Linked DNA regions of Danio rerio. The protein of the gene in region 1 interacts with the protein of each later gene in a pairwise test. Links are inferred from orthologs where the notes say so. Each region holds a gene or a part of one and is shown in the gene's direction. Other genes may lie near its edges.

Evidence for each region.
Region 2: the proteins of nudt3b (region 1) and asb13b interact in a two-hybrid assay, tested with the Homo sapiens proteins (2 studies listed by BioGRID and IntAct). The link is inferred for Danio rerio from reciprocal best matches to the Homo sapiens genes NUDT3 and ASB13.
Region 3: the proteins of nudt3b (region 1) and rplp1 interact in a two-hybrid assay, tested with the Homo sapiens proteins (2 studies listed by BioGRID and IntAct). The link is inferred for Danio rerio from reciprocal best matches to the Homo sapiens genes NUDT3 and RPLP1.

Annotation. Positions count from the first base shown.
Region 1 is NC_133181.1:56,862,375-56,865,874, forward strand, and holds the end of nudt3b (diphosphoinositol polyphosphate phosphohydrolase 1), read left to right. Parts: intron 1-400; coding exon 401-445; intron 446-530; coding exon 531-615; coding exon of another isoform or gene 616-639; intron 640-3,055; coding exon 3,056-3,255; 3' UTR 3,256-3,349; downstream 3,350-3,500. UniProt on the Homo sapiens protein: Cleaves a beta-phosphate from the diphosphate groups in PP-InsP5 (diphosphoinositol pentakisphosphate) and [PP]2-InsP4 (bisdiphosphoinositol tetrakisphosphate), suggesting that it may play a role in signal transduction.
Region 2 is NC_133183.1:12,719,846-12,724,080, reverse strand, and holds the start of asb13b (ankyrin repeat and SOCS box protein 13), read left to right. Parts: upstream 1-1,435; 5' UTR 1,436-1,578; coding exon 1,579-1,627; intron 1,628-3,577; coding exon 3,578-3,777; intron 3,778-4,235. UniProt on the Homo sapiens protein: May be a substrate-recognition component of a SCF-like ECS (Elongin-Cullin-SOCS-box protein) E3 ubiquitin-protein ligase complex which mediates the ubiquitination and subsequent proteasomal degradation of target proteins.
Region 3 is NC_133194.1:2,214,000-2,218,013, reverse strand, and holds the start of rplp1 (large ribosomal subunit protein P1), read left to right. Parts: upstream 1-1,214; 5' UTR 1,215-1,332; coding exon 1,333-1,404; intron 1,405-2,692; coding exon 2,693-2,767; intron 2,768-3,285; coding exon 3,286-3,397; intron 3,398-4,014. UniProt on the Homo sapiens protein: Plays an important role in the elongation step of protein synthesis.

The DNA of each region.
Region 1 (3,500 bases):
AATTAACATGATTATACAAATGATTAATTAATAAATGTACTTAAAATCAGTGAACAAAAAATATTAAAACAATTATAAGAATGCAAATTAAATCATTTTCGTTAGTGATCTCAAACTGGACCATATCTGGACTAAATTTAGATCCTGCTTGATGATAATCGACCATTGGCATGTTGTCTACATGGCGTTTGGCCTGAAGAGTGTCCTGATGGATCTCTATCACTCAGGTCAGGTGTACACGGTCCCTCACTGCTTGTTTTCACTGCCGTGTCTTTTCTTGACCTCTGAAAACATATCAGCTGTCAAATCCACATGAACTCAGTCAGTGGTTCTGCACTGAAAACCCCTGACCACATAATGAATCCTGTTGTTTCAGTTTTATCTGTTCATTGTTTTATAGGCTGGAGTCAAGGGCACTTTAGGAAGACTAGTAGGAATATTTGAGGTAAGTAGGATTTGAAAGCAAGGTTTTTGTATTAAAGCTTGTAAAATGTAATTGTAAAGGGATTTAAATATTGATTTATTCTCAGAATCGAGATAGGAAACACAGAACGTATGTGTACGTTCTCATCGTAACCGAAGTTCTGGAAGATTGGGAGGATTCGGTGAACATTGGTAAGTCCTCCGGGTTAGGATTTGGTAAGATTAATTTTTATTTACATTTTTAAAATATAAATATTATGAAATATTAGAATTCAAAACACCAGTTTCCTGTTTGAATGTACACTCACTGGTCATTTTATTAGGTACTCCTTGCTAGCACCAAGTTGGACCATATTTTTCTTTTAAAACCACCCTAATTTTTGTGGCCTAGATTCAGCAAGGGGATTTTGCTTTATTTTGACATAATTTGTTGGCTGAACATGCGTGATGTGAGTTTCCCATTCCAGCACATTCCAAAAGTGCTCTTTTGGATTGAGATTTGGGGTCTGTTCTGTAAACTTGTGCCGAGTTCAGACTGCTTGATTTTAGCCCCGATTTTGACTCGCCGACAGGTTTGAGAAATCGTCGACAACTGCATGATATCATAGGCAAACCGGTGCTTGTTCATGCGAATAGCAATCACACAGTGTGAACTATCAAATACAGTCAGCTATTTGCCTTGCTAAATATCAGGAGCTGTCTGCGATTCAAATCATGCTGTGTGAAATGAGTTTTGACTGAAAATAAAATCAGCGATCACCCACAGCCAATGAGAGAGCAGCATCCACTAGTATGGGTATCTGCAGGCCAGCGGGAGATTGTGGGAGAAGTTAAAAACATTTTCAGTTTATTTGGACCCAAGAAATCAGGGAAATACTAGTGTAAATTTGGCAACAACGTTGTGATCTGAGCAATATCACAACCGGGTCAAAAAAAAAAAAACTTGAAGAAGAATTGCTAACTCCCGTCAAGTAAAAATGTACATTTTCTACCCCATTGAAGGCTTGTTTCTCGTAATGTAGTTAATAACAAAATAATACTACGTGTGTTTGGTTGTGAAACGTAGTTTGGACAAAGTTGCAAAATGTAAACACTTGTAAACAAAGCAGCGACAAAATGCCAGCCCAGATAGTCATGCTGTGTGAAAACATCTGTGACACGATTACTTTGAAAATCATGCAGTCTGAACTCTGCATTAGCCACCATGTTAAGTCTTGATCTTACAGACTAGTTTTACCAAATACCAGTCAGTTAAGGGGTAAACATCATGCTGATGATTCACAGGGCAACTTTTTGAGCATTGTTGCTTGGCTCCTTTTCTACTAAGAATGGGTAACAATAATATGTGCGTCACCCATTATCCTAATTAGATGCCCGTTTAACTCTTCTTTGACTCTTCTGTAGTTACATCATGTACTAAGACTGATAAAAAAGAAAGGTGGCTATTATATAGGTCAATATGGCAAGAACTATACTCTCATTCCGACGTAATAATCAAGGAACTTTGCTGCTGTACCATAGCTGCAGCAGGCACAAGGCTATTATGCAGTGCTGTTACCTGGCTGGGGACTATTTTCAGGCACTACGTAATATCATTGCGCCTAAAATCTTTCATATTGTAATGCTTTGTTTTAACCCTAAATGCATAGAGTAGCTGCGATGTGATTGGCTGATTCTAAATTTGTTGTAACAAGCAATTGAGTGGGAGTACCTACCTAATAAAGTGACTGGTGAGTGCACAATGTTACTGCATTTGCTAATGCCAACTTATTGGCTTTATAATGTGTGAAATCAAAATTTACAATGTTTGTTTTGCTAGCGCACATTGCTATTCTTTAGGTGAACAATTATTCTTTGCAAGTTAAATGACTGAAAAACGTTTTCAGCCTGATCTCACGAAAAAAATTTTTTTTTTTTTACATTTTGTTAGTTTAATGACTAATTAGTAGTCGTATGAAAATGTACAAATATTTTAAAAGGAGGCATATCACCAAACCCCACCACTAACCCAACCGTCATTGGGGGATAAGAAAATCAGACTAAATTGTACGAATGAGATTGTACAAATTCATTTGAATTAGCCACTAAATCAAAAAATTAAGAATTCCTGTGTGATATTGTTGCATTATTTGCTTCTGCATTTGCAGTGGCGGTCCTTCTCTGTTGATATCCGGCCTCCATAGCAACTGCATAGCAGTATAATTAACCACTCCCCTCTTACCCAGTTTGCGAATTATACATTGATAATCGTGTGTGTGTGTGTGTGGGAGGGGGGGGTCAACTTTTTCAGTAGTAGTTTGGTAATACATGCTTCAGTGAATCTAATTTATGAATGTATTTAAATTACATCTAATTTAAAAATAAAAGGTATACATTTTCAGTTTTTCCATGGATATTTAGTAACTGATCAGTCAACCCCCCCTGTAATTTGCGCCGTTCTCTTACCGTTAGTTTGCTACAAGTGAATGATGTGCAGAAAAGAAAGCCACGCCCCCTATTTAATATTCCATTTCTGTAGGAAGTTCATCAACGTACTGAAATAAAAGTCTTAGCAACTTGTGTGTGTGTGTGTGTGTGTGTGTGTGTGTGTGTGTGTGTGTGTGTGTGTGTGTGTGTGTTAATGTTTTGACAGGGAGAAAAAGGGAATGGTTCAAAATTGACGATGCCATACAAGTGTTGCAGTGTCACAAACCAGTACAGGCCTCTTACTTCACGGCTCTACAGGAAGGCTGTCTGAACAGTAACGGGACGCCCCTGGTGGCCACGATAGGCGGAGGAGACCTGTCACCCACCTACAGCATTAATCAGAGCTCCGTCTCTGATATGAGATAACTAACGCAAAACACAGACACTCCGGATGCTTCCACCACTCTTGCTCTTACTTTCATTGCTCCATTCTTATTATTTTTCTTTCTCACAAAAAAAATCAAACAAAAAGAAATAGACACAATGGTTTGCCAAGGCCTTTTGAGCGCCAAGAAGGTGGCCCAGACATCAAGAGTCGGTGGAATATTCGATGCGTTTTGTAAATGTGATACTTCTGCGCTTTTTTTTCCTCCATGTTTAAATTCTCCTTT
Region 2 (4,235 bases), on another chromosome or scaffold:
CACCAGCCACTTTATTAGATACACCTGTCCAACTGCTTGTTAACACACATTTCTAATCAGCCAATCACATGGCAGCAACTCAATGCATTTAGGCATGTAGACATGGTCAAGATGATCTGCTGCAGTTCAAACTGAGCATCAGAATGGAGAAGAAAGGTGATTTACGTAACTTTGAACGTGGCATGGTTGTTGGTGCCAGACGGGCTGGTCTGAGTATTTCAGAAATTGCTGATATTCTGGGATTTTCATGCACAACCATCTCCAGGGTTTACAGAGAATGATTAGAAAAAGAGAAAATATCTAGTGAGTGGCAGTTCTGTTGGTGCAAATGCCTTGTTGATGCCAGAGGTCAAAGGAGAATGGCCAGACTGGTTCCAGCTGATTAAAAGGCAACAGTAACTCAAATAATCACTCGTTACAACCAAGGTATGTAGAAGAGCATCTCTGAACACACAACACGTCCAACCTTGAGGCAGATGGGCTACAGCAGCAGAAGACCACACCGGGTGCCATTTCTGTCAGCTAAGAACAGGAAACTGAGGCTACAATTCACAAAGGCTAAACAAAATTGGACAATAGAAGATAGGAGAAATGTTGCCTGGTCTGATGAGTCTCCATTTCTGTTGTAACATTCAGATGGTCGGGTCAGAATTTGGCAACAACAACATGAAAGCATCGACCAATCCTGCCTTGTATCAACGGTTCAGGCTGGTGGTGGTGGTGTGATGGTGTGGGGAATTTTTTTTTTGGCACACTTTGGGCCCATTAGTACCAATTGAGCATTATGTCAACTCCCCAGCCTACCTGAGTATTGTTGCTGACCATGTCTATCCCTTAATACCACAGCATGACTCATCTCAGACTGGTTTCTTAAACATGACAATGAGTTCACTGTACTCAAATAGCCTTCACAGTCACCAGATATCAATCCAATAGAGCACCTTATATATATATATATATATATATATATATATATATATATATATATATATATATATATATATATATATATATATATATATATATATTACATAAATTCAATATTTTACATAAATTCAATATTTTAGTTGCCTTTTTGTTACAGTGTGACATTATTAATCCTTATATCTTCTTGAAATAGGAAAAAGTGGTGGTTTATCGTCATAACGTACTTTTCAAGCAAAGCTAGACCTGCTGCTACTTGTCAAAATGGGCGGTCCGGACGTTTTCTCTGATTGGTCAGATGCGAAGAATCCCAATAATCTTTTTGAAGAAGTAATTAAACCATTATTTTCATCAATTCTAACTGAAGTAATAATTATATCTTCAACGCATGACCTTTTATAAATATAAATGATTCTTTATATTATAGCCAAACTAGTCATGCGTTATCACGTGACTTCTGTTACTTTACTCAACGCAAGTGAGAACGGACCAATCACAGCTGCTTGTGCTTACTCGCTCAAAATCCATAGCTTTATTCGCCATTGAATTGCTGTCAGGTCGACTGTTTGTAAACTATGGCTGGCGATAATTTAATGGAGCATACATATGTGAAGCACAAATTCTTCTTTATACTCATATAAATCGGAATAAGTGATGGAATTTGAAATAACGCGCACAAGGCCTTCGCTTTTTGGGGATATTGGTAAGTTAGCATGCCTGTGTGTCTGTTGTTATACATGACAGTTCAGTAAAGATTTGACTGTGCAACTCAGAGTTCACCGTAACTGTACGACACGTTTTCATATAACTGCCGAGATCGGGCTCGATGACATATATTGTTGGCAGACGCGCAGTTTGATCACATGCCGTTTGGCCTTGAATCAGTCACCAATGACAATTAACAGGTTTCTAAAGCCCTGGATCAGTGTGACCTGAGTCAACACACGGATGAGTTTTAGTTACTGTGCTGTACACGGCCTACTACACTGTCCTTTACAGTCGCTTGAAATAATGAGTGAAAATGTCCTTATCTTAATTCCCCAGAGTGCTCAAATTAAGGTAAAGTTGGTAATAGTCACACATTTAGACTTTCCCCGTAAGTTAATAATTCGCAAATTAATTCGTTCATTAATTTTCCTTCGCCTTAGTCCCTTTATTCATCAGGGGTCACCACAGCGGAATGAACTGATAACTTATCCAGCACATGTTTTTAACAGCGGATTCCCTTTCAGCTGCAACCCACTACTGGAACACATCTATACACGCTCATTCATCCAATTCACCTTTACCGCTTGTCTTTGTACTGTGGGGGAAACCGGAGCACCCGGAGGAAACACACGCCAACATGGGGAGAACATGCAAACTCCACAAAGAAATACCAACTGGTCTAGCCGGGACTCAAACCAGCGACCTTCTTGCTGTGAGGCAAGAGTTCTAACCAATGAGCCCCCGTGTAACCTTTATTGCAAATTCTAAATAGTGGTATCATTTTAGCAGCCAATGAATAATCAAAGTACTTCATTGTTCACAGTATAATAAATAGTGCTAATGTTGTTTGGAAGTCATACTTGCATGTGATTTCAGACCCAACATTTAAAGTACCATGGTAAACAATATAAGGAGCAAGTCACAAGTTTTCACTGAACAAGTGTGCAAATATAAAACGAACTTTACGTCAATCGTTTTCAAATGGAGTCATTACAATTTCACTTTGCAGAACACAGCTCTTGCACATGTTGTTGTTGTTGTTGTGTTAGACTTTACAAAATTAGATTTGCTATTTTGCTTTATTTCTTTGGATCATATTTCAGTACATTGCTGTTTTTTCAAACATTCATTAGTTTATTTTCTTTTAGTCCCTAGCTTAGTCCCTTCATTTATTAGTCCCTTTATTTATCAGGGTACTTGTACTTACTATAGTAATATAGTATAGTAATTACCAATAATATGCAGTTACATAATTACATGCAACTAACCCTAAACCTAGCTGTATGCTAACCCTAACCATATAGTAAGATCATGTTATCTATCTATCTATCTATCTGTCTGTCTGTCTGTCTGTCTGTCCGTCCGTCCGTCCGTCCGTCCGTCCGTCCGTCCGTCTAGATTTAGTTGATAAATTTGAATAATTAATTACCAATAAGACTTTTGTATTTACTTGCCTTTGCTTTAAATAATACCATACAATTTTAATATACCATGTAATTTTGTTATTTTTGGTATCACCACGTGCACATGAATTGATAAGTACATATTATTTGTAATATGATTTATTTTTTTATTCTTTTTATTATTATTTTTTATTTATTTATGTGTATCAAAAATGAACACCATATATTACAATACAATGTTTGTGTGTCTGTGTGTGTCTGTGTGTCTGTGTCTGTGTCTGTGTCTGTGTCTGTGTGTGTGTGTGTGTGTGTGTGTGTGTGTGTGTGTGTGTGTGTGTGTGTGTGTGTGTGTGTGTGTTTGTGTGTGTGTGTGTGTGTGTGTGTGTATAAACTGCCAAATTGATATTTTTGCAGTTCACTCTTGTGTATAAATTACATAATGACATATCTGATTGCTGATGCTTCATTTGTAAATCAGTTACGTCCATGTTTTTGTAAAGCTGCATTTTAAAGTTGTTCCCGTCTCTCTATTCTTTCTCTAGCACATGGTTTGGGCTTCTGGACAGATCGTTCTGCAGTGCATGAAGCCGCAGCTCAGGGCAGAGTCGTGCAGCTCCGGAAACTGATCGAGAATGGAGCATCTGTCAACATTGTGGCCGTGGACTCCATCACTCCCCTCCATGAGGCCTGTATTCAGGGCCATACGCAGTGTGTGAAGCTGCTTCTGGATGCTGGAGCTCATGTAAGCAGCATCTCTGTTAGGCATGCGATGATAAATGGTTTCAAGCCGTTTTAAAACTGCAAAAATCTTCTCATAGAATTCCTATGCTATATGTACTTTTTTAGGTGTTTTTTACAACTATTTTATTTTGTTTTTTTAGGGCAACAGTATCTCTAGCAGAAAATGTCCCTCCACATCATAAGCTACTGGTCAGACCACGATTCAGTAAACATAAAAAAAAACAAGTTGCTTATACACCAACATCCAAGCATGCTATAGAGCATGCACTGGTTGAAACTTTTTAACAGAGATTCATTTTGTCCCACATTTAGCCCTTAAAAACTAGTGTGAAGGTGAAGGGCTTTAAAATTTACCCCTAAGAAATGGGAGAGCCCTACAGCACCTGTACACGTCATTATATGTCATCATGATCTCTTGCTTCATATGAGATCAGACGATCGTGTCTGCTGTAGTGATTC
Region 3 (4,014 bases), on another chromosome or scaffold:
TTGGACTGAGACACACACACACAGCTCCGGAAGCTGGAGAGATTGGTTTCATTTTTACAGAATGTATTTGGATGGGGCTTTTCCATTCAGTCTCAGATAGTGTTTTGAATTAAGAGCATATCTCAAGGGTGCCAAACGAGCAGAGGTTCGGACTGATTATGGCTTTTTTGTTGGATTAATTTGAGTAACATGACTGTTGTTTGTGTGTTCAGAGAGGATGATGATGATGACGATGATGTGTCTGTTTGTTTGTTTTTGGTTCATTCCATTAAGTGTTTCTGTGATTAAACTGCTCAATTAAAGAGACTTTATTACACAGGCTGTCTAGATTATTATATTTTATATGCTTTATTACAGTTTCTGGTTCATTTTATATGACATTACAATCGCTGATTTAATTCATTTTAAAAGGCTTCATTACAGTTTCTGATATTTTTTACATTTTCTTTTATATTTTTATTACGGTGATTGATATTATTTATTTTATATTTATTATACAGTCGCTGATATTATTTATTTTATATTTATTATACAGTCGCTGATATTATTTATTTTATATTTATTATTACAGTCGTTTTATATATATATATACATATATATATATATATATATGCTTTAATAGTCATTCATTTTTGTTTTATTTATTTATTGGGCATGAAGTGAACTCTTAGTGCATACAAAATCACCAGGCATGTGTCTACACAATTAATTACATTCAGAATTACAAAACTTCTATAAGACAAAAGTACTGTAGCATAATACTAAAGGTTTAAGACAGTTCGGTTCGTTACAGTACCATGTAAATAACTTAAACGAAGTATGGGAATTTTACAGTATCATGGAATTTGATATATAAATAAATAATAAAATAGATAGCTACTTAATATTACTGGTATTCTATACTTCGGTACAAGTACCATAGATTAAAAGGCTCCTCACTAATATTACAAAGTAAAGCAAAAGTCTAATAAAATACCGAGTACAGTCACGTAAACGATTTTAAATATGATTTTAAATTTATATATTTATATACTCATTTATTCATTAATTCATTCACTAGTCAGCGCTGTCGTGAGCACATATACACAGCGAATAACTGACATCACAAACGAACCAATCACAGCTTTTGTTTTCTTCACTTGTCTCGCCCACTGAAGTGACGCACAAGTCTATATAAGTCTTCGCTCCACCCTTTTCCGGCCCTTTCCGTTTACTGAGATCGCAGCATTTGAGGTGCTCGGTTCTTCTCCCGAAGCTAAGGCCTTCAATCCGGCGACTAGCACCGTCAAATTTGCCCATCCGCACCAAAAAACTTAACCTACCGAAAGAACGATGGCATCTGTGTCCGAACTCGCCTGTATTTACTCCGCTCTGATCCTCCACGACGATGAAGTTACCGTCACGGTGAGTGTTGAGCTCCTAACCGGCGAAACGTGAACATCCGGGACTCAACCGCTACGGTTCTCGCATGCTACCCTGATTTTTGTGCTAATTTAGTATTTCTGCGTTTGCTAGTTCAATTACATCACATGTTTGGTGTGTTATTAGATAGTTAAGTCGCTGTGTTTGTGTGAATAGCAGTAAGCACGTTATAGCACATTTTCGCGCGCTTCCTGTCGTTATCCTGTACGGCTTAAATACTTCAGATAAATGTTCACATTGTGGCTGTAAACACGCATAACTGAACGTACTAGCTATCAGCACCTGGTAAGTTAGCATCCCTGTATCATGCTAATGACACATTAGCACTTTAGCTAGTAGGCTAAAGACTAGATAAGTTGGTCAGTTGACATGTGCTGGTATTCATTAATACAGTATTTCCTAAATAAGCATGCATTAGTTATCATGGTCATGTAAAAAAGTGTAAATATTTAAGCTTTAGACTGTCTTTTAAAAGTTTATTCTTTTTACACCTTAAAGCAAGACTCAATTAATGATGTTGTGAAAAGTACGTGTGTAGTTCATTCATCTTAGTTGTGGAGATTGTTTACAGGTTTTTTTTTTATTGACAGTTTTTAGTTGAATAACTGCACCAATGTAGCTTATTCGTTGAGATTTATATCTTGTTATTTGCTGAATAAGACCATAATCAAGTACTTCAATTCTTTACAATGCATAAAAAATAGTTATAGTCCATGTCCAAGTAGTCTATCAAGATAAAACATGTAGACCATTTTGAGGTATGTAAACAAAAAAATAAGGTTCCAACATGTTTTCAGTTTTGCATTTTAAATTTGTATAGCTTTCAAGAACTCAAAATTGATAGTTATGATAGCTGCTTTAACATTAAGTTATGATTGACCTGCCTGTTACAGTTATGAAATGGTTTGATAAGCAGGAAATGTTCACGGGCCAATGACATAACCACATTGAAATGGTCTAATTATACGCTGCATGATTTGCACTTAGCCAATTAATTATTTTTCTGATGTTGTTTTAATAACTCAGTGTATATTCTAATAACAAACATCACAATCAAAACTTTCACCAACAAGTGAATGAGACTATTAGAGGTGAATTTAAAGCATGTTCGGGGGCGTAATGACCTACAAATATTATTGTAGCATCTCAAAAACCATAACCTTACAAATAATTTTGCTGCTTTGATCTGATCGCTGCTATTGTCTTGCACAGTATTTGCATTAAATGAGTTGATGCACTGATATGAACTCTCTCTGAATGTGTTTTTCAGGAGGACAAGCTGAACGCTCTGATCAAGGCTGCCGGTGTGACCATCGAACCCTTCTGGCCTGGTCTCTTCGCTAAGGCAAGTTTATTTCACATCTGACAGGAGGATGATGGAGAGATAAATGTGAATGCCTTCCATCATTAAGTCCTCATGCTGTAGTGCAGGGGTGCTCGAACTCAGTCTTGGATGGCTGGTGTCCTGCACATTTTAGTTCCAACCCCAATTAAACACACCTGAACAAGCTTATCAAGCTCTTTCTAGGTATACTAGAAACATCCAGGCAGGTGTGTTGAAGGAAGTTGGGGCTAAACTCTGCAGGCCCTCCAGCACCGAGTTTGGACACCCCTGCTGTAGAGCATCTTGATGGTATGATTCAAGACTCAGATTTTATGCATGTTTAATGCATGTTAAAATATGAAATTGTTAACCAAATAGGCATGCAAACAAATATAAACTATGAATTGAATCATCCTAAACGTTTCTATATACATGTGACTGTTAAAAACTGCTGTGCAGAGAATTGCTCTTGAATTAAGCCCTCGCGCTGTACAGCAGCTTAATTGTTTCGAGTCTGATGGGATGTGTCTTGTGTTCAGGCTCTGGCCAGCGTGGACATCGGCAGTCTGATCTGTAATGTTGGAGCAGGAGGTGGAGCTGCTCCTGCTGCCGCTGCTGGTGCTGCTGCTCCTGCAGGTGGAGACGCTCCAGGTAAACATCACCCATCATCTGTTACTATACATTTAATGATGTGCAAGCTGACATTGAGTAGCACCTTCTTCTAAACAACCCTAAAACAGATTCTGAAAGTGAAGAGTGCTCTCTCTGGGAAAGCCTAAAATACAAATTATTAAAAGAAATAGCCTGAAGGGGTTGTCTTCATCTCTTCATATTTTTTATAATATGATGCGAGTAATCATGCAGCTAAGACTGATGTTTTTCAGGCATGTTGTCATATATGCTACTGATTTTACTACAGCTTAAGCAAGTTCATATTGAATTAGCTGCATTAAACTATCTGACTGGGTTTTCCAATGAAAGCAGTACATCTGTGCATCTCAGCAACACTTTTCACAACAATTTTCGCTTCAGATTTTAAATCTTGTTAAACAGCCCAACCCATTACTCAGCAGTTGATTTCTGAATTATTCAATTGGGATGCTTGATGGTCAGTACTGTAAATGTCAAATACTTCAGAACCCCATTTAAAAACCATTAGCAATGTTTTATTAAGTACATACTCTATCGATTGCAGTGAGTTTTAATACTATTACATTTGTAATGCATGATTTACTCATTGCCTACAGCTTTCCCCACACCAAATATCC